Struthio camelus: one gene and its partner. The protein of the gene in region 1 purifies or fractionates together with the protein of each later gene. This does not show direct contact. Links are inferred from orthologs where the notes say so. Each region holds a gene or a part of one and is shown in the gene's direction. Other genes may lie near its edges.

What was found. Proteins that work in one complex are often made in the same cells at the same time.
Region 2: the proteins of DCAF13 (region 1) and FBL purify together in Homo sapiens (affinity purification with western blotting; 3 studies listed by BioGRID, with this or other methods). This does not show direct contact. The link is inferred for Struthio camelus from reciprocal best matches to the Homo sapiens genes DCAF13 and FBL.

What each region holds. Positions count from the first base shown.
Region 1 is NC_090943.1:145,208,022-145,217,642, reverse strand, and holds the start of DCAF13 (DDB1- and CUL4-associated factor 13), read left to right. Parts: upstream 1-5,042; 5' UTR 5,043-5,161; coding exon 5,162-5,231; intron 5,232-7,354; coding exon 7,355-7,554; intron 7,555-9,376; coding exon 9,377-9,484; intron 9,485-9,621. Other genes in the region: SLC25A32 (solute carrier family 25 member 32), read right to left, coding at 131-216, 1,376-1,526, 4,736-4,901. UniProt on the Homo sapiens protein: Part of the small subunit (SSU) processome, first precursor of the small eukaryotic ribosomal subunit.
Region 2 is NC_090974.1:161,844-171,765, reverse strand, and holds the start of FBL (rRNA 2'-O-methyltransferase fibrillarin), read left to right. Parts: upstream 1-5,881; 5' UTR 5,882-5,932; coding exon 5,933-5,942; intron 5,943-7,185; coding exon 7,186-7,260; intron 7,261-8,581; coding exon 8,582-8,740; intron 8,741-9,238; coding exon 9,239-9,333; intron 9,334-9,922. Other genes in the region: COX6B1 (cytochrome c oxidase subunit 6B1), read right to left, coding at 162-262, 2,596-2,701.

The sequences.
Region 1 (9,621 bases):
ACAATATATAATTCCATTTGGACTGAAACACTTACACTTGTCACCTGTAAGAAAAAGTAGCACTGACAAAGGCAAAGCAGCATATGGACAAGCTAGAAACAAACATTAATCTTCTTTGCATTTAACTCACCAGCCTCCGCAGCTGACACGAGGTGTTCAGTTGCACTTAGACTTTCCAGCTTCCCCTCCTTTTTGTAAGCTTTGATAGCATTATAACTGGAAAATATAACATGTATTTTGGTAAAGGTAAAGAGAAACATACATCGCTAAGAAACAACCCCCACATAAAATTCACTTAAGATCAGGGAAAACATTAGGCGTCACTCAACTTCCAAAACAGATGTATAAGCAAAGTATCTTTGTTTACTTGATTAATTAATTGCTGAATAGTTAATTCTTTCAAGTGAACTGCAGTAATACAAATTTAAATTGATAAGTATTACTCTCAGTAACAGTGTGAAACAGTTACATCTTGTTTACAGTTACATCAGTTTACATCTTGAAACAGTTATCGGATCTCAAGAATTAACTTCAGAGAAACTGATTAGGTAGTCCTCCTTTTATTAAAAGGAAACAGTGACAGGCATCTATTTTGTAGCTCAGAAATACAGGGAGCTCTCTCTCTCGACCCAGTTTCCAGTCCTGCCACCTGCTTTGTGGATTGAGAAGCAGTCAATAGGAGTTCAACAACGATCTAATAGCAAAGAACTTTGTTTGAGGAACAAAGCCTAGCAAGAACAGAATCTAGACAACTGATGAGTGAGCTTTGCACAGGCACACCAAATAACCATTCTCTAAAATGTTTCAGCTAATTGGGGCCAGCAGGAAACCAGATCACAGTTACATAGCTAATAAAGTAGAAACGATCGAATATTAAAAAATTAAACAAAAACAAAAAACAGGCTTTATGAGCAAAGCACGTCCGTTCATAAAATAGGAAGAACTCACTGGCACTAAAATTATAGAAAATCAGTTAAACGTTTAGCTTCAGTAGACAACTTTTTATTCTTTAATTTTTTATAATCTTTCATAGTTTAGGTTCTTATTTTTCGTACAATTTTTCTTTTCCCACAGTTTTTCACCACTTTTAGAAGCTTCTTCAAGAACGATGTCGCAATCTCCCAAATTACTTAGTATTTTTGAAGCACCATAGGCATGCACTGTGCCTGACAAAGTAACAAGTTTCTGCCTCAAATGGCTTACGTTGTAAAACAGTGGACCATACTAAAGGGCAGCAGACTTGGACTTTCCAGAAGAATCACAAGTTTATAAGTCACTTAGCGTATTTTCATACCCCGCTTCCCCCAGAAGAAGAGGCAGCCTATATCTGAGGATTAATTACATAGGAAATGAAACATTTCACAGTTCTACTTACAAGAAAAAGTAAAGTCCCCAGGAAGCCCCAGCTCCCCACATGTTTGGAGTTACCCCTTGATACAAGCCTCGCAGTCCTTCATGCTTCCAGATAGTGGTCATACAGTGGAGAATCCCATGGTATTTTGGCCTCAGCTCCAATCCATCACTTACTATGTAACAGAGAGATTATATCGAAAAAGGTTTGAGGAAGTACGAAGTTCAGCTGTCTAAGAGCCACCATGTAAGTACGTGGCCTCCAAACAAAGCTGCAGTGAATGTGGAAACCTAACCGATTAGCTATATTTTAAAGGTATGCACGAGTTGAGGTTTAGAGCTTCAAGAGGAGCCTACGGTTAAAGAACTTAAAAAAAAAAAACAAAAAAACCAAAACCCCCAGAACTCAGCTCTGCAAGAGAAAGCCCCTATAAATCTGACAAAATTAATACATATTTTTGGTGAACAGTAGCTTTGACCTAAAGTTTTCTGCCTTTTCTTTTTAACACTCCAGCAACTTCATGTTGTATTTTGAGTGATACTTGTGGGGTCTTCAGCAACACACTTCCATAAGGAGTTTGACTAAGCACTAAATAGCAACTCTTAAATTAAATCTTCTTCTTTTAAACGTTCTAGGAATATCCTTAACAAGCCATGTCTTAGTGACTCAAAGTGTTTTTACCAGAACACTCAAAGGTTATTCCACCATAAATTCTTGTTTCTCCTTCTATACTCACTGAATGGACGTGTAGGAAAACACACTTTTTAAACATGCACACTTCTGCTCAATAACTGAGCAGCTCTTTGTCAAAACATTCAGAAAACGTGACTGTTAACAAGACGAAACGTGTCAGTTTTGTTAGAGATGTTTTATTTAGAACACAGGTGCTGCTCATGCAGCTTAAAACATTAACTACTATTGCTCCTACAGCAAGACGGTAATATGGTTACCTACAGCATGTGCAGTACAGCGCATGGCGAGAAGACAAGAGGCAACAGACACGCATTAGAACACAAGAAATTGTGACTAGACCTAACGAATAACTTTTTGCTCCAGGAACGTCATCAAATATTGGAGCTGGTCACCCTTGGAGGCATCTCTGGAGCAACTTAAAACTCAGCTGGACAAGAACCTGAGCAATGTGATCTAAGTAGACCTGCTATGAGCGGGGGTTGAACTCCACAGCTCCCCTCCAAACTGAAATATTCTACTACACTAATAACTGATCAGGAGCTTTCATTACTAGTATAGGCATAAGGCTAGACTGCAATTTTACTGAGAATGTCAAAGTTTTATACTCAGTAAAGCTCTTGTGTCCTCATCAAGATCAGTTCTGGCAGGCAAAAATTTCAGATATTTCTGTTTAATACTCTATTCATTATTCATTCTCCGTTGAACTTTGTGTACAATACTGCGTCGTGACAGACTCCAGCACTAAAGACAAAATGCTTTTTCTGGGCATATTTTAACAAAGCACCAACATCTTGCTAACCACTCAAAACTAGAACACCAACTGAACTCCTTTCTCATTCTTCCTGAGTTAGCACCATCGGTCCTTTCCCACATTTTTACCACCCTGCTATTAAATCTGGTTTAGAAAGACACCAAAAAAGGGGGAAATCAAAGATTTCAATGTAACTCTGTCTGGTATGATGCTGCTGAGAATCTCCGTGGTGTTCATTTCTGATCTCAGCCGTTACTTCCTGGTCGAAGACAAAGCATGGGAAATGTTATTTTCAACCCAAACAAGCACATGAAATTATCCCTGTCATTCCCCCTATACAGTCTGACCAAAAAGCTATCTGAAGATAAGGCAGAATAAGTTTAATATTGGAATATTAGTAAATAACTTAGGGATAGTACAAAAACTATCCCTGGGATAGCCACCAGGAACGGAAAGGACCGTTAACCACAACTTACATGGGGCTGGGAAGAAGTGCCTAAATGACATTTAAACTCAAAAGATACCAGCATGTTACTCCCTTCCATGACAAAAGATACATTTGCCGGGTATTAAAAAACAACACACAAGCTATTCTGTTAAAAGACAGAGTTCAGATCTCAGTGATTCAGAAGAGACTTTGGTAGAAAACCTACGAGCCTTGGACGAGTCCAACCAAAACTTGATTAGAATCAAGAACTAAAGTGAAACAATCATATGGAATCAGAATAATTTAGGTTGGAAGAGACCTCCAGACGTCATCTAATACAACCCTCTGCTCAAAACAGGCCTATTTAGATAGGTTGCTTGGGGACATGTCCAGTCAACTGTTGAGTATCTCCAACTTCTTCCAGCATGTGATCACCCTCACGGTAAAAATGTTGTTTTCCTAATATCTAATTGGAATTTCCCCTGTTACAACTTGTGTCTGTTGCCTCTTGTCCTATTGCTGAGCACTGCCAAGAAAAATCCAACTTCTCAGTAGCCTCCCTCTGATCAGGTACAGCAAAATGTCTGCACTTAGCTGTCTCCTTCTAAAGCGTGAACTGAACCAGTTCTCTCAGCCTCTCCTTGTACGTCATATGTTACAGCTCCCTGACCAGCTTGGCGGCCTCTTCTGGGCCAAGTCCAGTATGTCAATGTCTTTCTTGTACTGGGGAACCCAAGATTGGACCTAGTACTTCAGATGTGGTCTCACAAGTGCCAAAGAGAGAAGGATCACTTCTGCTAGTTATACTCTTAATAGACCAGAGTGTGCCCTCAAGACACACAAGAAAGTGTTTAAATCCCTGTTTTGGATTGATCTGATCACATAACGGAGCCTACAAGTAACAGCACATTTTGTAGTCTCTGGGAACAACACAAAAACCTACCTCGAGAAAGGAGAGGAGGGAACCATCTCTTTTGGCCTACTGCCCGATTATTCTCAGCTGCACGGCTACTCTGCGAAAGCCTGTCATTATGCAACTACGCATAGACTTTGACCGACAAAAATTTGCAGCCACCGAAATCTTATCTGGCTGTACTCCCCTTTTCCTACCTCTCCAAAGAGAGTTTGTGGGTCACTGGCTCAGAAACATCAAGTGCAACGGGATTAGTAAATCTTAAGCACAACGTACGGTTTGCATTTGCAGCCGACAGCATTAAGGGCTAGCTCTGAGAAGAGCTCAGGCTTTTGCATGACGGCACACTCCACCTCCCCCAGCAGACGCCTTGGCCCCACACAGGCACGCTGCGACCTCGGCCTGCAGATCGGAGGCCTAAGAGCCGCAGCAGCTCCCGGCCGCGGGCACCGCGGCCTTCCAGAGCCTCCCGGCCGCGGGCGCCCCCGCTCGGCCGCGCAAGGCCCCGGCCCGCCTCACCGGGGCGGACGGCGGCGCAGCCTCCCAGAGGGAAACTGGGGGCGGGGGGCGGGGGGCGGGGAAGGGGCGGCCCGGCCTCACCTGCGAAGCGGATCTTAACCAGGTCTAGCGGGTGCAGCACCAGGGTGGAGATGACGCCGCCGCTCAGCCCCGCCGCCAGGTTCTCCAGCCGCACGTGGCGGAAGAGGGAGCGCACGGGCGGCGCGGCCGGCGCCCCCACGGCGCACGCGGGGCCCTGCGCGCCCATCGCCCACGGCTGACGGCGCGCGCGGCGCCCAACGGCTGCAGTGCGCGGGCAGGGGGCGAGGCGCCCCCTCCCCCGCCGCGGACCGAGGGCCGGACCTGCTCCGCCCGCGCGCGTCTCGCGAGAGTCCGGCGGGAACCTGCCGCCCGGCGCATGCGCTCAAGTGAGAGGCGGCCACCTCCTCCTCCCCCCCCCCCCCCCCGGCCCGGCGGAGCGGAAGCGGCAGGGGAGCGTGTGCGTGTGCGTGTGCAGCGGCCGGGAGGATGCGGGTCAAAGTGCTGAGCCGGAACCCCGATGATTATGTCCGCGAGACCAAACTGGACCTGCAGCGCGGTGAGGAGGGCTGGGCCCACATGCCGTCCGCACGGGCACGGCAGCGCCGAGGGCAGCGGGCGGGAAGGGCCTCGAGCACCCGCCGGCCGCACGCCGCTGGTCGGCTGCCCCCGCGGGCAAGGTTCCCAGCCAGCGGTGCGCCGCGGTCGCCGTGCGGAGGCCCCCGAGAGCTTTAGCTTTCCTTTTCCTCGCCCGCCGCCGGGCTTGGCTGAGGAGGCGCTAACGGTGGCTCGGCGTGCGCGGAGTGGGGGGGTGGGGGGCGCTCTGCGCATGCGCCCGGTGCGGGGCGTGTCTGCGGCGCCCGTTGAGCGTTCGTTACAGGGGTTGGAGGGGAGCTGTGGCCGCGCAACGCCCCGCTTCGGTCGTCTCGGAAGCTGTGAGTCTGGAAGTTAAAGAGCGGCGTTAATGTTCGCCTCTGAAATGCTTAAGTGACTTCCCTGCCGTCTGCCGGCAAGCTCTGCGTTCATTTCTCTCAAACGGGGTTTGAAGGGAGTTAACCATCTGTGAAGAAAAAGGGTTGTGATTCTGTTACCTGAACTGAAATGGGGCTTCACAAGATACGTCTAAAAGCGCAGTGAAAGTTGGGACTGCAGATTTTCGGTTTTTTAGTCCCCGCTCTGCTACTCACTCTTAGCAGTCTTTTACATGTATTAATGTTTCAGGCACAGTAGCTCTCCCCCTGCTTTTTGTATTATGGCATATCTCTTACGGAAACTGGCAAAATCTTGCAGACTGTAGTTGTTAGTTTTAGATGCAGCAACTCTGGCCTGGTAGATGAGATGATGGCTTTCCACGCTCTGTTCTACTGATATTCTGTCAGAGCTGATTTTACACAGGCTCGCAGTTTCATCTCTATGAACGATAGAAATGGGATTTGATTTCTACTTAGTGTAAAAATAGTTCAGGAGAAAGGTTTGTAAAGTTAGAGCACGTGTAAAGTTCTGGATTTCTTGGCATCGCTAAATCAAATAGTATTTTGAGCAGAAGAGACCTGTAGTATTTGAAATTGCATATACTATGAATTGATTTGATTGAATTAGAGGTAGGCAACTATGTTGTTTGTGAAGTAGCACTATAACCGGTGCTGTTCAGTCCTGGAGATATTCAGAAGCCGTCTCGACAGTGTCCTGGGCAGCCTGCCCTAGGTGACCCTGTTTGAGCAGGACGGTTGCACTAGGTGATCTGCAGAGGTCCCTTCCAACCTCAACCATTCTGTGAACTATGCGTTTTCTCGTTGTTTAATTGTGGTTATGCACTTAAACCATGAACGAGATGATTAAATCTACTTATTAGAACAATAGCTGAGGTGTGGTTTGTGTGTAGGTTTTTAAATCAAATTCTTTATCATATAATGGAATGGTATACAACCATTTCCTCAGAGGTTTTATTTTTAGGGGTTTTAATATGCAAAAAATATTCTTTGAAAATCAGTAGACTGAAATAAGCATTGAATCTTGATGAGTGATCTAACTGTTGTCAGTAGAACAACTGACAACGCTTTTTGTATAAAACACAATGTCGGTTCCTACTGTCTTTCTCAATTTATCTTTAGGCGTGGGTACACAAATGGATGCAGAGAGACCCTTGCTCCAAGCTTATTGGATATAAACCATCCCTGTCAGCGAAAGGAGATAGCACCAGCAAAGTACCAAGCGACTGTGTCTCATTTCTGAGCCAGAGCTGCTTTGCAGCTGCCTGAAGAGGAACAGAGCTAGGTTGCAGCTCCCTGTGCCTGTCAGTTTAGGCACATCCTTTCTGCGTTTACTGGAATTTGGTGGCAGGAGGTGTTTTTTGTTTTGTTTTTTAATATCCATTTCAAGAAGGGCAAAATATCTGTAATTTTCAGTTTGCTGCGTGCATTCGTTAGTTTAGCAGTATACTCTTAAAAAGGGTGTCGAGTAACTTTAAAGTTATTTCAGACTTCATTAGCTTAAACATTGCCAAGTGAGCATACTAATCCCCATAGATCAATTTCAAAACAGTAAGTATGGCATAAATCTTAGTGTTGCAGTAAATTCTTCGACAGCTAGGAAAATCAAACAGAAAAGCATCTGAATGCACCTTACCTTGAGTTATATACAGTACATATAACAGATTTGTAATGACTGTTACTCTTATTGCAGTTCCAAGAAATTATGATCCCATATTGCATCCTTTTGAGGTTCCACGGGAGTACACAAGAGCTCTGAATGCAACAAAGCTAGAACGTGTTTTTGCAAAACCCTTTCTTAGCTCGCTTGATGGCCATAGAGATGGAGTTAATTGCATGGCCAAACACCCAAAGAGTTTGTCTACAGTGCTTTCTGGAGCTTGTGATGGAGAGGTAAGCTGCAGTTACAAACCACGACAAACAAGGTCACTTTCTTCCCCTCTCTTTTTTTTTTTTTAATGCCCTCTTTTTATCTGTCTTTGTGTCTTTGTTCGGCTATCATACCGTAACTTCACTCAGAAGGGGCATCCTATCCAGTTTGGGACAGTGTTTCTCAAACTGCAGGTTGTGACCTGCCGGCATGGGATGAATGTCAAAAAGGTTTAGGAAGCAGTTCTCAGCTATACAGTTCCTCTAAGTTAAAGAGTGAGAAGGGGCTGTCATAGCTGCGGGTAAGTGCTTACACAAATCTAGAAACTTCTGGTAAGCTGTGAGTTGGAGGTAACATTCAGTTTCTTGACATAGAGCAATGAGTGTTAAAACTTGCGATCCCTATGGCTTTTTGCGTCCTTTCCCCCCCCCCCCCCCACTGCCCTTTGAAGTTGAACTGCTACAGATTCAGAAGATTACATAAAGTCAGATGAGCTAGGGGGGAGGGACACACTTTCAAAAACTTTGTGGAATAATAATTTCACTTCTTCCCTAAAAATGATAACCGTGTATCTGTGTGATATTTTAGATAATTATTACGAATAGCAAGCAAGGGTACTTTTTGTGGGCTTTACTTCATGAAGGGCTACGAAAATGATTAGGGGGCTGGAGCATCTCTCCTATGAAGAAAGGCTGAGAGAGCTGGGCCTGTTGAGCCTGGAGAAGAGAAGACTGAGAGGGGATCTCATCAATGTACAAGTATCTGAAGGGGGGGTGTCGAGAAGATGAGGCCAGTCTCTTCCCTGTGGTGCCCAGCGACAGGACAAGTGGGCAGAAACTGTGCAGTGGGCACAAATTGAAACACAGGCAGTTCCATCTGAACATGAGGAAAAACTTCTTGACTGCGAGGGTGACTGAGCCCTGGCACGGGTTGCCCAGAGGGGTTGTGGAGTCTCCTTTGCTGGAGATACTCAAAAGCCGCCTGGACGTGACCCTGGGCAATGGGCTCTAGAGGACCCTGCTTGAGCAGGGGGGTTGGACTAGATGATCTCCAGAGGTCCCTTCCAACCTTGGCCGTTCTGTGATGTGGAGGCAATTGCAGAAGAAAACCATTTATCTTCTCTGCCCTCCCTCACCCTTATGTTGTTGTACATTTGATAGTAATTGTATATTTTAAATGTGTCTTCTGGGTATCCGCTTACTTTCCAGGATTTATAGAACATACATTCATCATACAGCAGCGTAAGGGAGATTAACCTCTTAAAACAGGAGGAAAATGAATTTTGGGGTCATGGGAATAAGTGTATATGAAAGGTGGTTGAGATTTCTTATCCGCTGACAGAGCAGTAACAGTACTTACAAATGTGAAAACTGAGCTCCTCCATTTCTTTAATTTAAATGGCTCCAAATATTTTGGAGCAGAAATCCCTGTGAGGGGTAGACATACATTTAGGTTATAATACAGCAGCTGAAGTTGAAAACGTTGCATTGGTTGCAAAAGTTATTTTCTTGTGCCTTTTTCTTTAAGGGATGTCATTGCTAAAATTAACACTGCTGCTGTCTTCTAATAAGAATTCCAGATCAAAAATAAGGGAATGCAAAAATAATGTAAGTGTATAGTTTGGGGGAGGAAGGAGTAAAAAGCAAAGAGCTATATGTTTTTTGTTTGTTTGTTTATTTCAAGGAGATAATTAAGTGGTTTTAACATAAATCTGGCTAGTGTTCAAGCCAGCTGTGCCATTTTGTTATAATGTGTGTGCTCTCTTCTGCTTGAATTATGAACTGTAATTGTGGGCTGTAGAAAACTGAATTAAATAACAACAGAATACTTTTCCGTTTTTAACAGGTTAAAATTTGGAACTTGACCAAACGACAGTGTATTCGTACTTTACAAGCCCATGAAGGCTTTGTGCGAGGGATGTGTGCTCGTTTCTGTGGAACCTCGTTCTTTACTGTAAGTATAATATGTCTCCTTAGTACGCTCTAACAATACAGATCAGCTGTTGACCAGCTATTTTCTAGCAAGCAACTTACTGTAATCTCTCCTGTAGAATATTTAAATTTCAGTTATTTTTAGAATTTGAATGCATT
Region 2 (9,922 bases), on another chromosome or scaffold:
ACACCGCAGGGGCATCAAGGAAGCCACGGTGACACCGCGGGGGAACTGAGGCCACGGGGGACGCCGCAGCGACGCCACGGGGAACGTGAGGGCATGGGGGACGCCCCGGTGACACGGCGGGAGCGTTGGGGACACACGGGGACGGGGCAGGTGACACTCACCCAGGAGGTGGGACACAGGGACTTGTAGACGCGGTAGTACCACTGGCAGGGGCTGGCGTCCGCCCCCTTGGCCGCCATCGCCTTCTGGCAGCGGTGGAAATCTGGGGGCGGCGGAGGCGAGGGGGTGTTAAAACGCAGGGGGTTGAGCCCCCAGGGGGCCCAGGCGTCCGGGAAGGGGACCCCGGCCCCTCCCGAGGGGCCCAGGTGGCCGGGAGCACCTTCCGACCCCTTCCAAAGGGCCCAGGTGTCCGGGGAGAGACCATGGCTTTGGGAGCCCCTCTAACCCCCCTCCACAAGGGGCCCAGGCGTCCGGGGGGCCCAGGCGTCCGGGGAGAGACACTTCGGCTTCCGGGAGCCCCTCTAACCCCCCTCCCAAAGGGGCCCAGGCGTCCGGGGGGCCCAGGCGTCCGGGGAGAGACACCTCGGCTTCCAGGAGCCCCTCAAACCCCCCTGCCAAAGGGGCCCAGGCGTCCGGGGAGAGACACCTCGGCTTCCAGGAGCCCCTCTAACCCCCCTCCCAAAGGGGCCCAGGCGTCCGGGGGGCCCAGGCGTCCGGGGAGAGACACCTCGGCTTCCGGGAGCCCCTCTAACGCCCCTCCCAAAGGGGCCCAGGCGTCCGGGGGGCCCAGGCGTCCAGGGAGAGACACCTCGGCTTCCAGGAGCCCCTCAAACCCCCCTCCCAAAGGGGCCCAGGCGTCCGGGGAGAGACACCTCGGCTTCCGGGAGCCCCTCTAACCCCCCTCCCAAAGGGGCCCAGGCGTCCGGGGGGCCCAGGCGTCCAGGGAGAGACACCTCGGCTTCCAGGAGCCCCTCAAACCCCCCTCCCAAAGGGGCCCAGGCGTCCGGGGAGAGACACCTCGGCTTCCGGGAGCCCCTCTAACCCCCCTCCACAAGGGGCCCAGGCGTCCGGGGGGCCCAGGCGTCCGGGGAGAGACACCCCGGCTTCTGGGAGCCCCTCTAACCCCCCTCCACAAGGGGCCCAGGCGTCCGGGGAGACACCCCGGCTTCTGGGAGCCCCTCTAACCCCCCTCCACAAGGGGCCCAGGCATCCGGGGGGGCCCAGGCGTCCGGGGAGAGACACCCCGGCTTCTGGGAGCCCCTCTAACCCCCCTCCCAAAGGGGGCCCAGGCGTCCGGGGAGAGACACCTCGGCTTCCGGGAGCCCCTCTAACCCCCCTCCACAAGGGGCCCAGGCGTCCGGGGGGCCCAGGCGTCCGGGGAGAGACACCCCGGCTTCTGGGAGCCCCTCTAACCCCCCTCCCAAAGGGGGCCCAGGCGTCCGGGGAGAGACACCTCGGCTTCCGGGAGCCCCTCTAACCCCCCTCCCAAAGGGGCCCAGGCGTCCGGGGGGCCCAGGCGTCCGGGGAGAGACACCCCGGCTTCCGGGAGCCCCTCTAACCCCCCTCCACAAGGGGCCCAGGCGTCCGGGGAGAGACACCTCGGCTTCCGGGAGCCCCTCTAACCCCCCTCCCAAAGGGGCCCAGGCGTCCGGGGGGCCCAGGCGTCCGGGGAGAGACACCCCGGCTTCTGGGAGCCCCTCTAACCCCCCTCCCAAAGGGGCCCAGGCGTCCGGGGGGCCCAGGCGTCCGGGGAGAGACACCCCAGTTTCCGGGAGCCCCTCTAACCCCCCTCCCAAAGGGGCCCAGGCGTCCGGGGGGCCCAGGCGTCCGGGGAGAGACACCCCAGTTTCCGGGAGCCCCTCTAACCCCCCTCCCAAAGGGGCCCAGGCGTCCGGGGAGAGACACCTCGGCTTCCGGGAGCCCCTCTAACCCCCCTCCCAAAGGGGCCCAGGCGTCCGGGGGGCCCAGGCGTCCGGGGAGAGACACCTCGGCTTCCAGGAGCCCCTCTAACCCCCCTCCCAAAGGGGCCCAGGCGTCCGGGGGGCCCAGGCGTCCGGGGAGAGACACCTCGGCTTCCGGGAGCCCCTCTAACCCCTCTCCCAAAGGGGCCCAGGCGTCTGGGGGGCCCAGGCGTCCGGGGAGAGACACCTCGGCTTCCAGGAGCCCCTCAAACCCCCCTCCCAAAGGGGCCCAGGCGTCCGGGGAGAGACACCTCGGCTTCCAGGAGCCCCTCAAACCCCCCTCCCAAAGGGGGCCCAGGCGTCCGGGGAGAGACACCTCGGCTTCTGGGAGCCCCTCTAACCCCCCTCCCAAAGGGGCCCAGGCGTCCGGGGGGCCCAGGCGTCCGGGGAGAGACACCTCGGCTTCCAGGAGCCCCTCAAACCCCCCTCCCAAAGGGGCCCAGGCGTCCGGGGCGAAAGGGGGGCCCAGGCGTCCCTACCCACCTAGTTCCGACAGCTGGTTTCGAACCGCTTCCGGGTGCGGAAGCGGCGCCCGCGGAGCCTCCCCCATCCCCAGCGGGGCCCCGGCGTCCGGGCCTCCTGCCCCCCGCCCCCGGAAGGGGCCCAGGCGTCCGAGGGGCCCAGGCGTCCCTACCCACGTAGTTCTGCCAGCAGTTCCTGGTCTGGTTCTGGTTGGGGAAGCGGCTGTCGAACGGCGCCGTCCGGTAGCGCTGCAGCTTGGCCTCGATGTCGTCCGCCATCGCTGCGGGGGGGGGGGGGGGGAACGAGAGCTCGTTAGCGGGGGGTTCGTTAGCGGAGGGGGGTCGTTAGCCGGGGGGGGGCCTTAGCAAGGGGAGCTCGTTAGCGGGGTTCGTTAACGGGGCTTGCAAGCGGCGGCGGGGGGCGTTAGTGGGGTGTGTTAGCAGAGAGGCGGGAGCGGGGTTCGTTATCGGGGGGGACTCGTTAACGGGGTTCGTTAGCAAGGAGATGCCAGCAGGATTCATTAGCGGGGCTCGTTATTGGGGGGCTCATTAACAAGGTTCGTTAGCAAGGAGATGCTAACAGGATTCATTAGCGGGGCTCGTTATTGGGGGGCTCATTAACAAGGTTCGTTAGCAAGGAGATGCTAACAGGATTCATTAGTGGGGCTCGTTATTGGGAGGCTCATTAACAGGGTTCGTTAGCAACGAGATGCTAACAGGGTTCGTTAGTGGGGCTCGTTATTGGGGGGCTCATTAACAGGGTTCGTTAGCAAGGATGATAGCTTCTTATTAGGGTTCGTTAACAAGGGGCATTAGCAGTGGAGGTGCTATCAGGATTCATTAGCAGGGGGTTCATTAGTGGGGGGGCTCGTTAGCAGGTAGTTTATTAGTCGGGGGGGGGCTAATTAGCAACGTTCATTAACTAGGAGGCTCATTAATGGGGTTCGTTAGCAAATAGGTGTTACGGGGCGATTTGTTAGAGGGAGTTCTTGGGGGGGGTCGTTAGCAGGGCTCATTAACAGCGATCGTTAGTGAGGTTTGTTAGCAGGGGGCTCATTAACAGGGTTCATTAGTGGGGGGTTCGCTAAGGGGGGTCGTTAATGGGGTTCGTTAGCGGAGCATGCTAGCAAGCTTCATTCACAGGGGTCGTTAGGAGGCTCGTTAGCAGGGGGGCGCTCGTTAGGGCTGGAGCTAACGGGGGCTCCCCGAAACGCTGCAGGGCTGGAGCTGGGCAGGGAGAGATCCCAGTGCGCCCAGTGCCCTCCCAGTAAGCCTGGGTTCCCCCTCCCCAGTGCTCCCAGTAAGCCTGAGTCACTCCTCCCAGTAAGCCTGGGTTCCTCCTTTCCCAGTCCTCCCAGTAAGCCTGAATCACTGCTCCCAGTAAGACTAAGTCCCCCCCTTCCCAGTGCTCCCAGTAAGCCTGAGTCATTCCTCCCAGTGCTCCCAGTAAGCCTAGGTCCCCCCCTTCCCAGTAAGCCTGAGTCACTCCTCCCAGTAAGCCTGGGTTCCCCCCTCCCCAGTGCTCCCAGTAAGCCTGGGTCCCCCCCTTCCCAGTGCTCCCAGTAAGCCTGGGTTCCCCCCTCCCCAGTGCTCCCAGTAAGCCTGAGTCACTCCTCCCAGTAAGCCTGAGTCACTCCTCCCAGTAAGCCTGAGTCACTCCTCCCAGTAAGCCTGAGTCACTCCTCCCAGTAACACCGAGTCTCCCCCTCCCAGCACTCCCAGTTAGCTGCCCCCCCTTTCCCAGTGCCCCCCCAGTGCTCCCAGTAACCTCACTCCCGCCATTTCCCAGTGCTCCCAGTTCCCCCCCCCCACCGGCCTCCCAGTCCCGCCCTTTCCCAGTGCTCCCAGTAGCCCCGGATCCCCCCGCTTCCCAGCGCTCCCAGCACCCCCCCCGAGCCCTCCCAGTGCTCCCAGTTCCCTCCCAGTGCCCCCCGCCCCCCTCACCGAGTCGCGCCGCTCCCTCAAAGTGACTTTCACCGCCGCCGCCCTCGCACCGGAACCAGCGAGACGTCGCGAAAGCGCAGAGCGGCGCCGGAAGTGGCGCGGTCCCCCCCCACTCTAGCGGCCCTCAAGGGGCGGGGCCACAGAGATGAGGCGGCTAGAGAGGCGGCCGGGCAGGGAGGGGGAGCGGCGAGGAGGACCGCGGCGGCCATAGAGAAGAGGCGGGAGGACAGAGCGGCGCCGGCCGCCGGGGGGGAAGTGGGCGCCGAGAGGGGCCCTAAAAGCCCCCTCCCCCGGGGACCCCCAAATCCCCCATTCCTACCCCAAAACTCCTTCCAGTACCCCCCAGACCCCCCAAATCCCCCATTTCTGTCCCAAAACACCTCCCAAGACCCCCCAGAACCCCCCAGATCCCCCATTTCTGTCCCAAAATACCTCCTAGGACCCCCCCAGAACCCCCAAATCCCCCACTCCTGCCCCAAAATACCTCTCAGAACCCCCAAATCCCCCTTTTCTGCCCCAAAACACCTCCCAGGACCCCCCAGAACCCCCATTTCTGCCCCAAAACACCTCCCAGGACCCCCTAGGACCCCCAAATCCCCCAATCTTGCCCCAAAATACCTCCTAGGAACCCCCAGAACCTCCATTGGTGCCCAAAACCACATCCTAGATCCCCCCAGAACCCCCCAAATCCCCCTTTTCTGCCCCAAAATACCTCCCAGGACCCCCCAGATCCCCCATTTCTGCCCCAAAACACCTCCCAGGACCCCCCAGAACCCCCATTTCTGCCCCAAAATACCCCCCAGGACCCCCAAATCCCCCATTTCTGCCCCAAAACACCTCCCAGGACCCCCCAGAACCCCCATTTCTGCCCCAGAATACCCCCCAGGACCCCCAAATCCCCCATTTCTGCCCAAAAATACCTCCCAGGACCCCCCAGAACCCCCCAGATCCCCCATTTCTGCCCCAAAACACCTCCCAGGACCCCCCAGAACCCCCATTTCTGCCCCAAAATACCCCCCAGGACCCCCAAATCCCCCATTTCTGCCCCAAAACACCTCCCAGGACCCCCAAATCCCCCATTTCTGCCCCAAAAAACATTCCTAGGATCCCTCAGAACCCCCCAAATCCCCCTTTTCTGCCCCAAAATACCCCCCAGGACCCCCAAATCCCCCATTTCTGCCCCAAAACACCTCCCAGGATCCCCCAGAACTCCCCAAATCCCCCATTTCTGCCCCAAAATACCTCCCAGGACCCCCCAGAAGCACCAAATCCCCCATTTCTGCCCCAGAATACCTCCCAGGACCCCCAAACCCCCCATTTCTGCCCCAAAATACCCCCCAGAGCCACCAACCTCTCCCCCCCCCCCCGTGCCCCCTCCCTCTTTGGGAGCGGTGTGGGCACTTCCGCCCGGCCCCGCGCGGCGTCGGAGGGGGCCGCGGCGCATGCGCGGGACTCCGGAACGGAGGGGGGCGGTGGAGCCGCGCCGTGACGTCAGCGCCGCGCAGGCGCTTCCGGTTCCGGGGCCCCGAGAGCGGCGCGTGCGACCCCGCGTGGAGCAGCGGCGGGATGCGGCCAGGTGGGGGGGGGGGGGAACTGGGAGGGACTGGGGCGACTGGGAGGGACTGGGAGGCACTGAGGGGCATTTAGGAGGGGCTGGGGGCGACTGAGAGGGCCTGGAAGGGACTGAGAGGGCAACTGGGAGGCAACTGGGGAGGACTGGGGGCAACTGGGAGGGAGCAGGGGGCACTGGGAGGGACTGGGAGGGCTCGGAAGCAACTGGGAGGGGGATGGGGAGCCCTGGGAGGGAACTGGGAGACATTGGGAGGGAACTGGGGGGTATTGGGAGGGACTGGGAGAGACTGGGGGCAACTGGGAGAGACTGAGGGCAACTGGGAGAGATTAGGCGGGACAAGGAGGCAACTGGGGGGAGTGGGGGCAACTGGGAGGGAGCTGGGGGCACTGAGAGGGACTGGGAGGGCTCGGAAGCAACTGGGAGGGGGATGGGGAGCCCTGGGAGGGAACTGGGAGACATTGGGAGGGAACTGGGGGGGTACTGGGAGGGACTGGGGATATTGGGAGACCCTAGGATGAGGCTAGAGAGCACTGGGAGGGACTGGGAGAGACTGGGGGCTTTGGGAGAGACTGGGAGGGAGCTGGGGGGGACAGGGAGGCAACTGGGAGGGAGCTGGGGGTACTGGGAGAGACTGGGAGGGAGACCCTAGGATGGGGCTAGAGGACACTGGGAGAGACTGGTGGTGTTGGGAGAGGCTGGAAAGGACTGGTGGGCACTGGGAGGGAACTTGGGGGGGTACTGGAAGGTGCTAGGAGGGAACTAGGGGACACTGGGAGGGGCTGGGGGACACTGGGGGGCACTGGGAGAGGACTGGGGGACTTTGGGAGATGCTGGGAGGGACAGGGAGGCAACTGGGGGACACTGGGAGGAAACTGGGGGGGGGAACTGGGAGAGGTGGGAATGGACTGGGAGATGCTAGGGGGGCTAAGGGGACATTTGAGGGCCTGGGGGCTACTGGGCATACTGGGAGGGACTGGAAGCGATTGGGGGTACTGGGGGGGGGGAATACTGGGAGACAGAAGGAGACTGGGAAGGAAATTAGAGCAACTGGGAGGGAACTGGGCAGACTGGGAGCAAACTGGAGGTGATTGGGGATGCTGGGGGGGGATGCTGGGAGACAGGAGGGGACCGGGAGGGATATAAAGAGACTGGGGGGGAACTGGGCAGACTGGGAGGGAACTGGGGCGGCCTCTGCCTGCTGCCCAGTGCTCCCAGTTGGCCCAGTTTGAGCGCCCGTCTCCGACAGGGTTCAGCCCCCGGGGGGGCCGCGGCGGCGGCTTCGGGGACCGCGGGGGACGCGGCGGCTTCCGGGGGGGCCGAGGTGAGTGTCGCCCCCTCCCAGTACCACCAGTGCTCCCAGTATGACCGGCGCTGCCGGCCCTGGGGACGCCAGAGCCGGGCACGAAGCTCCCCGCACTGTCCCAGTCCGCCCAGTGGGGCTCGGGGCCCCGTCCCAGTCCACCCAGTAGCTGCCCAGTTCCTCTCTGCGTTCATCCCAGTCTGCCCAGTAGCTTTCCCACCCTGTCCCAGTCCGCCCAGCAGCTCCCTTGTCCCCTCCTAGTGCTGCTCCATCCCACCCCAGTCTACCCAGTAGCTCCCCAGTCCCATTCCCAATCTGCCCAGTTCCTCTCTGCTCTCAGTCCAGTCTGCCCAGTAGCTCTCCTGCCCTGTCCCAATCTGCCCAGTAGCTCCCCAGTCCCATTCCCAGTCTGCCCAGTTCCTCTCTGCGTTCATCCTAGTCTGCCCAGTAGCTCTCCTGCCCTGTCCCAGTCTGCCCAGTAGCTCACCGGTCCCATTCCCAGTCTGCCCAGTTGGGCACTAGTTCCATCCCAGTCTGCCTACTTTCTGCTTCTTGCTGTCCCAGTCTGCCCAGTTGCTCCCCCGTCCCTTCCCAGTCTGCTCAGTCACTTCCCCATCCTTTCCCAGTCTGCCCAGTCATTCCCCGGTCCACTCCCAGTCTGCCCAATGGGGCTCCCCCACCCCTTCCCAGTGCACCCAGGAGCTCCACCGCCCCCTCCCAGTCCGCCCAGTTGCTCCCCCATCCCCTCCCAGTTGCTTTCCCATCGTTTCCCAGTCCGCCCAGTGGCTCCCCCATCAGCTCCCAGTCACTCCGCCGTCCCCTCCCAGCCGCTTTCCTGACCCTTCCCAGTCTTCCCAGTCCTCTTGGTCGCTTTCCCGTCCCTTCCCAGTCCACCCAGTGACTTCCCTGTCTCCCTCTCAGTCTTCCCAGTCCGCCCAGTCGCTCCCTCTCCCCTTCCCAGTCCGCCCAGTCGCTCCCTCTCCCCTTCCCAGTCCGCCCAGTCGCTCCCTCTCCCCTTCCCAGTCCGCCCAGTCGCTCCCTCTCCCCTTCCCAGTCCGCCCAGTCGCTCCCTCTCCCCTTCCCAGTCCGCCCAGTCGCTCCCTCTCCCCTTCCCAGTCCGCCCAGTCGCTCCCTCTCCCCTTCCCAGTCCGCCCAGTCGCTCCCTCTCCCCTTCCCAGTCCGCCCAGTGGCTTCCCCATCCCTTCCCAGTCCGCCCAGTCGCTCTCTCTCCCCTTCCCAGTCCACCCAGTGGCTTCCCTATCCCTTCCCAGTCCTCCCAGTCGCTCCCCAGTCCCCGTCCTCGTTAGGGGCCTCGTCAGCGCCGCTGGCCTTGGCCCCGCAGGTGGCGGGTTCAAGTCCCCCGGTGGGGGCGGCCGCGGCGGTTTCGGCGGTGGCCGAGGAAGAGGAGGGCCCGGCCGGGGGGGCCGCGGCGGCGGCCGGGGGGGTCGCGGTGGCTTCAAGGGCGGCAAGAAGGTGACGGTGGAGCCCCATCGGCACGAAGGTACCGGGGGCCCAGGCGTCCGGGCGGGCAGCAGCACGTTTGGGGGAAAAGGGGGCGGTTTGGGGAGGACGGGGGTGGTTTTGGGGGGCGCCGTGGGGCGGTTGGGGGGGCGCCGTGGGGCAGTTGGGGGGGATGGAGGCGGTTGGGGGGGACGGGGGTATTTAGGGGGTGCCGTGGGGCGGTTGGGGGGGGGACGGGGGTGGTTGGGGGGGTGATGGGGACAGTTTAGGGGAGGACGGGGGTATTTAGGGGGCACCATGGGGCAGTTGAGGGGGATGGGGGTGGTTGAGGGGGTGCCGTGGGGCAGTTGGGGGGGACGGGGGTGGTTGAGGGGGTGATGGGGACAGTTTAGGGGAGGACGGGGGTATTTAGGGGGCACCATGGGGCAGTTGGGGATGGATGGGGGTGGTTTAGGTGGTGCCGTGGGGCATTTAGGGGAGATGGGGGTAGTTGGGGGGCACTGTGGGGCAATCGCACCCCCCGGTTTTGCCCCCCCAGGGGTGTTCATCTGCCGGGGGAAGGAGGACGCCCTCGTCACCCGCAACATGGTGCCCGGCGAGTCCGTCTACGGCGAGAAGAGGATCTCCGTGGAGGTGGGGGGCAACTGGGAGGGCACTGGGGGCAACTGGGAAGCACTGGGGTAGGTGTGGGGGGAACTTGGGGGAATGAGGGGCAACTGGGAGGGACTGGGGGCAACTGGGAAGCACTGGAGTAGGTGTAGGGTGTACAGGGAAAGCCTTGGGGGGGTAACTGGGAGGGCACTGGGGGGAGCTGGGAGCAACTGGGAGGCACTTGAGGCTACCGGGAGGGCACTGGGAAGGCAGCAGAAGCAACTGAGAGGGACTGGGGGCAACTGGGAAGCACTGGGGTAGGCATAGGGGGTACTAGGAGTTCTGGGGGCGCTACTGGGAGGCACTGGGGAGAATATGGGGGAATGGGAAGGAACCTGGGGGGCAGCTGGGAGGGCACTGGAGGCAGCTGGGAAGCACTGGGGTAGGTGTAGGAGGCACTGGGAGCAACTGGGAGGAGCTTGGGGCTACCGGGAGGGTGCCGGGAGGCATTTGGAGGGCAACTGAGAGGGACTGGAGGAGGATTTGGGGGCAGGGGAGGGCACTGGGGGCAACTGGGAGGCACTGGGGGAGGACTAGAGGGCACAGGGAGGGCCTTGGAGGGAACTGGGGG